Linked DNA regions of Caenorhabditis elegans. The protein of the gene in region 1 purifies or fractionates together with the protein of each later gene. This does not show direct contact. Each region holds a gene or a part of one and is shown on either strand. Other genes may lie near its edges.

The links.
Region 2: the proteins of htp-1 (region 1) and Y54G11A.7 fractionate together in Caenorhabditis elegans (co-fractionation; one large-scale study listed by BioGRID). This does not show direct contact.

The regions. Positions count from the first base shown.
Region 1 is NC_003282.8:5,389,030-5,393,585, forward strand, and holds htp-1 (HORMA domain-containing protein), read right to left. Parts: upstream 2,529-4,556; coding exon 2,463-2,528; intron 2,417-2,462; coding exon 2,269-2,416; intron 2,223-2,268; coding exon 1,489-2,222; intron 1,441-1,488; coding exon 1,330-1,440; 3' UTR 1,160-1,329; downstream 1-1,159. Other genes in the region: ZK616.5 (uncharacterized protein), read left to right, coding at 3,143-3,216, 3,262-3,324, 3,370-3,448, 3,496-3,561, 3,612-3,752, 3,799-3,872, 3,917-4,013.
Region 2 is NC_003280.10:14,295,759-14,300,685, reverse strand, and holds Y54G11A.7 (Tetratricopeptide repeat protein 38), read right to left. Parts: upstream 3,382-4,927; 5' UTR 3,379-3,381; coding exon 3,180-3,378; intron 3,135-3,179; coding exon 2,969-3,134; intron 2,920-2,968; coding exon 2,746-2,919; intron 2,426-2,745; coding exon 2,230-2,425; intron 2,182-2,229; coding exon 1,835-2,181; intron 1,473-1,834; coding exon 1,151-1,472; 3' UTR 1,065-1,150; downstream 1-1,064. Other genes in the region: ctl-2 (Peroxisomal catalase 1), read left to right, coding at 499-1,029.

The DNA.
Region 1 (4,556 bases):
TCAAAGAATTGTAACTCTATTGATAAGATGTTTTTTATTAAAAAGTAATTGAAAAGTGCCTGAAACAGTAATTAAATTTCGTATATAAATGGTTTTTAATATATTTTTTCATGATTTGTGTATAATACCCAGTAACGGAATTTTGTGATTTGTGCGCCAAAAATACTATACCAGGTCTTGACACGAAAAATTTGAGTTTAATGCAAAAGGCTGTGCGCCTTTAAAGAGTACTGTAATCCCAAACCTACGTTGCTGCAGATTTTTTTAAAAATCGATGTGATTTGCTAAAATTAATGTGTTCTTATTATTATCATTGAGAGATTTTTTAATGAATACAAGTACAATTAATTTTTCCCAAAATACTATGAAAAATCGATAAAAATTAAGTTTTTTATTAAGAAGAGTTTGAATTTCCAGTATTTTCTGAAATAAAAAATTGTATTTTTAATCTTTTTAATCAAAAATTGTATTCTTTAATCTTTAATCCTTTTAATCCCATGACCTGGTATTCTTGGCGAAAAAATTACAACATTTTGTGTCTGGGTAATATCCAGTCGTGAATTCGTGAATTAATTCGCCAAATCTGAAGACTCCACTTCAAAAGAACATTTTTCTCTCGATAGGTCTCGCCACGATCCATTTTGTTGGCGACAGGCGCGACTGCTCTTTCTTAAATGAAAATTGAGATATTTGTTCGCTAGAATGTGATTTTTTAACAGAACATACAAATATATGGTTTTCGTGGCGAGACCAATTTAAAGTAGCACGCGCCTTTAAAACGACTACAATCAACCTGAATACTACATAAAATTGTTTCAGACACTGCAATAAAAAAGCTTTTTCTGATAAATTTTGTGACGTCTGACATTGAAAAGTAGAATAAACTGTGTTTTTTTTCAAAACTTGAAACCAACAATCAACAATCGCCACGTTCCCTTGCAAACCACATAAATTTTAGCAAAGAACCTTGAGAAAAGTTATCGAGGTCAGCATGAATGGTGAATACAAAGAGAATTTCGAGATTTACCGAAAGATACTCGGAGCGGTATCCAGCAGAAGAAGAAAAGAGAGAATCCTTTTTAGATTGGTCAATTGTTGAAAAATTCTGAAATGCACTGGAGTATCTTGAAAATGGAGTCATGGGAAACATGCTATTTAATAACACCAGTCGATTTATTTATGAATGACTGTAATTTGAATAAAAAAAACTAAGGATACAATAATGGAGCAGAAAGGAAACACTCAAGACAATAAAACATTTTACACGATGATATAGAACATGCCAAGTTACAGAATGAAGCTATAATCTATTGAAAGCTAGGAAAAAAATTATTTACAGGAACGAGAATATGGAGACGATCTGGTTTTGCTGCCATCGGCTCCTCTGCGAGTAGTTGGTCTCGTCTGGATAGGCGACATTTGTGCTTTCTCGAGAGACTCCTACAATTTTAAATTTTTTGTTTATATGTAAAAAACTAATAAACTAACAGTTATATCATCCACCGGAGAAGTCTCGTTTCCTCCTTGATCGTTGACAGATTCAGTAGTGGCCTGACTAAGACTTGTGTCACTGTCCTCCGAATTAAACGATTTATACAGCACATTCACTGGATTGAATCCATGCCTATCGGAAACTTTGTCCAGGTGTCGCTTGAGAGTCAACTCTGCTTCGTATGAATCGGACATCAACATGCTCCAGCATTCCATGTTTGCAGCGTGGCATCCTGGGCGCAAGTGACCAATGGTTGCCGATTGGATATCATCAGGAAGTGTGTAAAAAGTGGAAGAATCTTCGAAGCCATCAATGCGGAAATTGGATGGAGCATCGTTTGTGTACTCCAATCGAAAATTAGCCGTGAATTCTTCTGGCAACGGTTCGAGAACTTTTGTGCAGAGGAACTGAACACTGCGAACAATCGTCACCATTTGATCTCGTACGCTGTCGCCACCCTCGTATACAAGTTGAGCAAGCTTTGCGAAGTGAGGATCTTCCTGGCCATTCTTGTCAGTGCTCAGACGAGCAACCACGCCGCCATTCTCAAAATAAATGAACTTCATAGAGAAAACTTCGATGGCTTCAAGATCTCCTTCATTATTTGTGATCACGAGGGAGACTTCTTTCAGAAACCCATCCTTTGTTGCATCCCCAGCATTTCGAAGTAGTTGAGCGATTTGGTTAGACCGTGGGTTTCTGAAGCACAGCGTCATGCATTTCAGCTTTTCTGAAAAAGAACATTTACTATAAAATGTGATAAGAAAAACATTTACCAGTGATGTAATTCTTCGTGAAATATTCTTGTCCAAGAATGTTACGGTTCCTAAGAACAGCCGAAAACGCGACGTAGATTGCTCTGGTCATGAAATTGGATGATCGATCCGGGTCGCTGACAATCCTTGGGAAAAGTTTGGACCATTTCTAAAGATGAAAAAAATTACAATGGCCATAAAACCATGAAAAAAACCTTATCATCAATGGAATCCGCCGATTTGTTGAGCGATTCGTCGTAGATGGTTTCCAAGGGCGCCATCTGCAAAAAAACAGTCTCATTTTTAGGCAAGAGTTTGTAAATGTGAAATATAATATAATTCCTCGAGGAATACTATGCAAAGAAAGAAAAAACCCAATGACAAGCTTAAAATGATACACTAAAAAACGAAAAATTATTTTCGAAACTAGGAAACGATATTTGAATTTTAAAAAACACAGAAAATCGTCAATTTCGAAAGCCTAGGAAAGAATTTTAGGATTTCAAAAATGCAAATAAAATGCTAAATTAAAGGTACATCGGATTGGGTAAGTCCATTGGTCTCGCCACGCAATTACAAAAGCTCAAAACTATTCAAATAATTTTTGACTAAATGCAGCTTTTCCTTTTATTTTAAAGTAAATTTTTCATTCATTTCAAAACTGTCAACAAATTTGATTACTAGAGGTAATTTTAAAAAGTACTATTCTTTAAAAATACGCAAATGCAAGTGAAATTCGCTAACTCGTGGTGAGGCCTAAATTTAGTTTACTGACTGCTCCTTTGATTACTGTAACTTGTTTGCTATTTTTAAAACGGTCTGAATTCTCATTTTTGGACGAGTTTGCCTAAATTTTCTCCTTTCAAGCTCAAAAAACGTTTATCATTGTTTTCAGATGCCAAACTATCGAGGACGTCATCAAACGAGACAGAATTGGAGTTCTAAGCCAAGAGAAGAGCACTCCCCGAGGTATTTGAATAAAAAATGTCATTTTTTCGAGTACTTTCTTTTCAGCAAAGGCGCATACAGGGACAAAATCTGGAGCGGTCCAGTCAGTGAGGTCGCCAGGCAACAAACGTATGAAACTAATTTTTAAATGTTCCTAATTTACTTATTCTTCAGGGTGTACGACTGGGTGACTACAGGTGCTTATTCCCTTGGATCGCCAGACTCGTGGCCATCTTATCCGGACGAAATCATAGTGAGTGCTGTAGTACACCGAAAAAAAGTTAATTTTTCTTGTTTTAGCTGATGAACGAGTCCCGAAATGCTCAGACATCCCGCATGTCGCGTCGGTCGGCTACTCCCGGTCCAGTGAGTTTATTTTCTTCATATTTTCGTTATGAGACAAACCTTGGTTTCAGAGATTGTCACAAGATAGAAGGACAAGAACTACAGCACCCGCCGTTGCGCCGATTCCGTTTCAGAGGGCACAGCCTCGAGTAGAAGTGGAGAGACAAAGAATCGACGAGCCTGTCGCACAGGACCTGATTATCGATGATGGGGTACCAGAAAGTTTCATTGAACATTAGCTGTAATGTATTTTTGTAGAACGGTACCAACAATTCGAACGATTCGAGTATTTGTGGCTTTGTGGAGGAATCCGAGGAACTCGTATATCCACAGTGAGTATCTAAATCAATTAATTAACTGAAATTTATCATTCCAGGTGGGTTTACTATCTGTACCCATTGATTCCTACCGCGCCTAACTGCAACAACGAGAAGTCGTACAAAGAAGGTGGCAATTGGTACAACTCTCCATGAATGATCTCCCTCTCCAGCTTCTCTCAATCTGTCATATTTCTTATGCCTGAGTTGCTCCTCATTTTAAGAATGTATCATTCTCATATTATCTGTCATATTCTCACTCCCATCATGCCCGTAATCAAACCCCCGTCATTCATTTTTCTCTGTACCGGTTAAGAAGTTCTAACATTGTATTTTCCATGATTCTAAGTCAGGAGCTTTTTCCCCATTATTAATCCATAATACGATCGAAGGTTATTTACCATCGATGATTGGAAGGTTGAATTAATTTCACATTGTTTTCTATGAAACGTTCATCCGATCCTCATTGACCATTCGATCCTTTGTTATATTTTCCCATTTTTACTGTACCCATCACCTCATACGCATCCTTTTAGGCTAGAAGTCTGCATTAGCAGAATAACTTTTGAGCTTTCACCGAATGTCTGTCCCATGTCTGCTCTCTCTTTTCCTTTTTGTTTTTGTTTTCCTCTGGTCAATGTTTCAATTCCTTCTGGTTTTTTTGAATCACAATAAACATTCTCCAGAAAATTGTCTCGA
Region 2 (4,927 bases), on another chromosome or scaffold:
TGCTCTACCGAACGAGTAAATTTTCTTGCGGCCATTTTTCATATGCATCGCAAAATCCAAATTTGGGTTAGTTTTCGAGATAGCAGCCAATACAGGTTTTTAGACTGATTATCATGAACCAAGCCATCTAGTTTCTGTGCTACCGTGTGAAGTGTGGTAAGGCATGCAATTGCGCTCTAACGAGAAACTAGGGCCCATAAGACGGAATTGATAGCTCTCACGTGGTGCCAGACTGTCCCATTATGGTTTGTTTTTTTTTTATCAACAAAAAATGCGGGAATTTTTTTTGCACAAAAAATGAGACTTCAGCAAGTTCTTAACCATGCGAAATCAGTTGAAAACCTTGCGTCTCTTCTCCCGCATTTTTTGTAGATCAAAGTAGATCAAGCCGAAATGAGACACTCTGACACCACGTGAGTTCAACGTGAATAGCTAGTTTTGGGAAACACAAAAACGTTTTTCCAAAACTACAGTAATCCTACAGTACTTTATTTCCAGGTTGAACAATCCGCCTTCTGCCCGGCCCACATCGTCCCAGGAATCGAGTTCTCGCCAGACAAGATGCTCCAAGGACGTATCTTCTCGTACACCGACACTCATTTCCACCGCCTTGGACCAAACTACATCCAGCTTCCAGTCAACTGCCCGTACCGCTCCCGTGCTCATAACACCCAGCGTGATGGTGCAATGGCTTATGACAATCAGCAACATGCTCCAAACTTCTTCCCGAACAGCTTCAACTATGGAAAGACTCGTCCGGATGTCAAGGATACCACATTCCCAGCCACTGGAGATGTTGATCGTTATGAAAGTGGAGATGACAACAACTATGATCAACCCCGTCAATTCTGGGAGAAGGTGTTGGATACCGGGGCTCGGGAGAGAATGTGCCAGAACTTTGCAGGGCCGCTCGGGGAATGTCATGATTTCATTATTAAGGGAATGATCGATCACTTTTCAAAGGTTCATCCAGATTTTGGAGCTCGTGTCAAGGCACTCATCCAGAAACAGGCTCGCTCTCATATCTAAACTTTCTTGAAATTAAAAGAAATTAAATGTACTTTTTATTGTAATAACTTGCTTTATTGTGTATAAAAAATATGATAATTAAAAATAAATAAAGTTAATATAACTTAAACTCTCCACCAACTCACAGCGGATGTAAAGCTCTAAACTTATCAGCAAGCCTCTGGCCCAACAGCGAGTCATGCTTCAGGGTCTCCCTCTCCACCAGCAGCTCAGGCGTCAAAGCCCAATTCTTGGGATCCTTGCTCAGAATGCAAGACTGTATCAGTGTCTGAACGAAAAGGTCCCGCTGGGCATGAGATCCTCCGATTTGGACAACTTTATCGCGAATTGGGTACATAGTCTCGGCAGCTGTGTCGTAGTCGCAGCGGGCAAAGTCAAGCATCCCGTCGTAGAGGGGCATCCCGATGGTCTTGCTGATTTGGGCATTGTCCTCGGATAGCAGCCTGAAAAATGATAGTTTGATATGTGGTAAGTTTGACCTAGGAGCTGATTATCACATCTAATTCCACATATCCTAACACCTTTCGATACAACGTTTTTAAATTTTCGCCAATCACGGTTTGATCTACAAAAAATGCGGGAAATTTTCCCTAAAAAATGTGACGTCAGCAGGTTCTTTATCATGCGAAATCAGCAAAGACGTCTGCGTCTAAATTCCCGCAATTCTCGTAGATCTACGTAAATCAAATCGAAATGGGACAGCTCGACACCACATGCCTACCAAGTACATACAACATGTCAAAATCTTTCATAGATTTGTAGCTTCTCTCTTTTCGGATAAGGCGAACTGGATAGTGTTACTCACGATGAATACTTCTCCAATGAATTTCTCAACTTCTTCTCCGTCTCCAAATCCTCCTGTCTATAAATTGCAAGCCCTAGGTGCACATCATTGAACACAATTGAGTGATTGTCGATGAACTTCGACAGATGCTCTATCTTCCTCCACCGATCCCTTCCAACATTGACACCTTCCAGTTCTAACCTCCACAGCAGTGAGCTGGCATCAACCATGTCTAGCAAGGAGTTGGTTTTGTTGAATCGATTCGCAATTTCTCGATCAAAAATCCCCAGCGCTGACTCATATTCTGCGTACTCAATGTGAAATAGTGCCGTGTGCCAGTAGTTGTGAGAGGCTAGCATCCAACCTTGCTGAAAGGGGAAGTATATTTACAATTAATTGAATAGATTGAAAAGTACCCTCCAATCATCCTCCGTTTTGTACATAAACTCTTTTCCCTCTTTGTGCCGCCCGTTCATCTCGAGGACGTGAGCCTTTGCGTGGGAAGCCCAGCAATCAAATCGGTTCAGTTGTAGGGCCCGATCTGCTTGTGTTTCAGCATCATCGTAGATACCACATTCTTCAAGGCCAAAAGCATACATGCCATGGAGATAGCTAAAGAAAAAAAATGTTGGGGATAGAAGCCGGTTTCGAAGCATGTAGATATAAAACCTATTTAGTTATTTTTGTTTTAATTTTCATATTTAGTTGTGAATAGGCCTGAACCTAGCTTGAACTCCTAGACCTTATGAACCATAACCTCTTTTATTTAGATGGATTCAAATCCCACTCTAGACGCATTGGTTTTTTGAAATTCGGAAAATCTGAACGCAGCGCTTACTAGGACAGTTTTCTTGTTGTAGATGGCGCTATTTTAAAATGAAACCAATTTTAGAGACTAAAATATTTCGAAAATAGAAACAATTAAATCTCACCTATAGCATGGTAAATCTGCATTCCACTTGTGGATAACCTTCTCAATTGCGTTCTTCTTCCCTATCTGATTTCCATTGAAGAAATGAGCATCGTGTGAGAACTTCACTGCAATTAAATCTGTTGGGTAATCATCTAGAAGCTTGTCCCACTCGATGGCAGCTTCATGATGCTTTCTGAAAAACAGGAAAGTTTCAAAAAAATATCTCCTAAAGGAGCCCTTACCCTCTTCCCCACAAAATCGCTGCTTTGGCATGTCGCTTTTCTCTGGCGTTTCCATACTTTTCAGCGTCAATTTCTAGTTGATCCATTTTCTTGGCAAATTCGACATTTCGAGCAGCGGCTTCTGTGCCGAGCCCGGAGAGGCCCACTAGGAAAGTTCGGGCCATAACTGAAAATTCAGAGACTCCAAGTGCTAAACAAAAAACAAACTAACTTGCTTCAGGATCCGAAGCCACAAGCTTCTCGATCGATGTATGAAATCCGCCTAAACTGGTGCAATCCGACCAGGACACAAGCTGTCGAATGCAGGCATCCAACCATTTCGCATTCTCATCACTCGTAGTTGATAGTTCCAGACCAGCCGACTTCCAGCCTTCGCAATTGCGCAAATGATCGGCACACCATTCGGCCATTTTCTGAAGGAAGAGAGGAGGAATGGGCGGTAGGTCTAATGAACGATATGACGGGGTTAGATGATGCAAGTGGGGGAGGGAGGACTTGATAGGAAAGTTTAGAATTTTCGGATTTTTTTTGCATTGAAAAAGCACGATATTCTACTGTTGACATAGAGTTGCTCCGTTCGAAACTAAATTCATAATAAAATCGGCACGGAAAACAACATATCCTACGCGCAAGTTTCGCTAGGTAGGAAATTTCAAAATTTTCGGTAATTTCCAAAAATGGCTCTACATTATTCAGTTCTGATTTTAGACTTTATTTTTACATGAAAAAGTAAAAAAATAAACATTAAAGAACTGTGATCACCAGTTTTCTAGTTTTTCGCGATTTTTGATATACTGTAGCAATTTTGAAGTACCCAAAGTTAGTAGACAATCACAGTTGTTGAGAAAAAAAATTGTGACCTTATGAGAAATAAAATGGAGTATAACTTCAATCATAGCTTTTTAACATAAAAATTAGTAAAATTTGCACTTTAGATTTTCTAAAAAATTCCAAATTTTTACGATTTTTAATCTAAAGACCACGTTATCAACGGCCAAAAATGCGAAAAAACCATATAAAATTCTCGAAAAAAAACCTCTCAAAAACCTCTTAAAACTGCCAAATCTAAAAAAAGGAAAAGTGAAAACAAGAAAAGAAGGGTCAACAATTAGAGAGTATGCAGTCTAGAAGAGAGTGCCAGACGACTAGACGACAAACAGATATAGCACGTGCGTCTTCATTGGGACAAAAACAACATACATGCAAAATGGAAAGAAATAGGTAAGCTTGTGTGTCCAGGACATTTGTGATACTGATGTTGATAACACCTGGAAAATACGTGAAAGTTTTGACGATTAGTTGGGGTTTGATAAAAAAATTGAAAAAAACGGTTTTAGAATCAAACAATCAATTCGGGAAAAAGGGCATTTTTCAGGGTTATACAGGAAACAATAGCTTAGCAGACGACACTTTACGGGTCAAAATGAGTGTTATGATTTAACTGATATTAAAAAAAAAGCACCCGACATCTTCCCAGGACACTTTACAGGTCAAAACGGCATCAGCAGCGGACTGTTCCCGGGTTGATGGGAAGTGTATAATATAGAGCATGTATCCACCGACATTATATTTGGATAACTAGCAGCCGACACCTAACTGGTTTTTACATTGCGGCTGACATTTCCCGGGTTCCTGGGAAAAATATCCCATTTTCAGTGATACATCAGCCGACATCTCGCTGGCCAAAATTTATTTATAAAGTCTAAGAAAAGTTGAGTATAACTAAGCCAGCAGTGACTAATTTTTAGAGAGTGCCTAGAAGTTCACAGGTTTTATAAAAGCAACCGACGTCTCCAGGGTCGTTAAAAGCAGCACAATACAACTGTGATGCCAGTCGAAATTTCCCCGTAAAATGTCGGCTGCGAAATTGTGTTATTTAAAACTCATCCGTCTTGTATGTCTCATATCGCAGCCGATATCTCCCGGATTATGAAAAAATCGCGTGTTCTGAACTTTGAC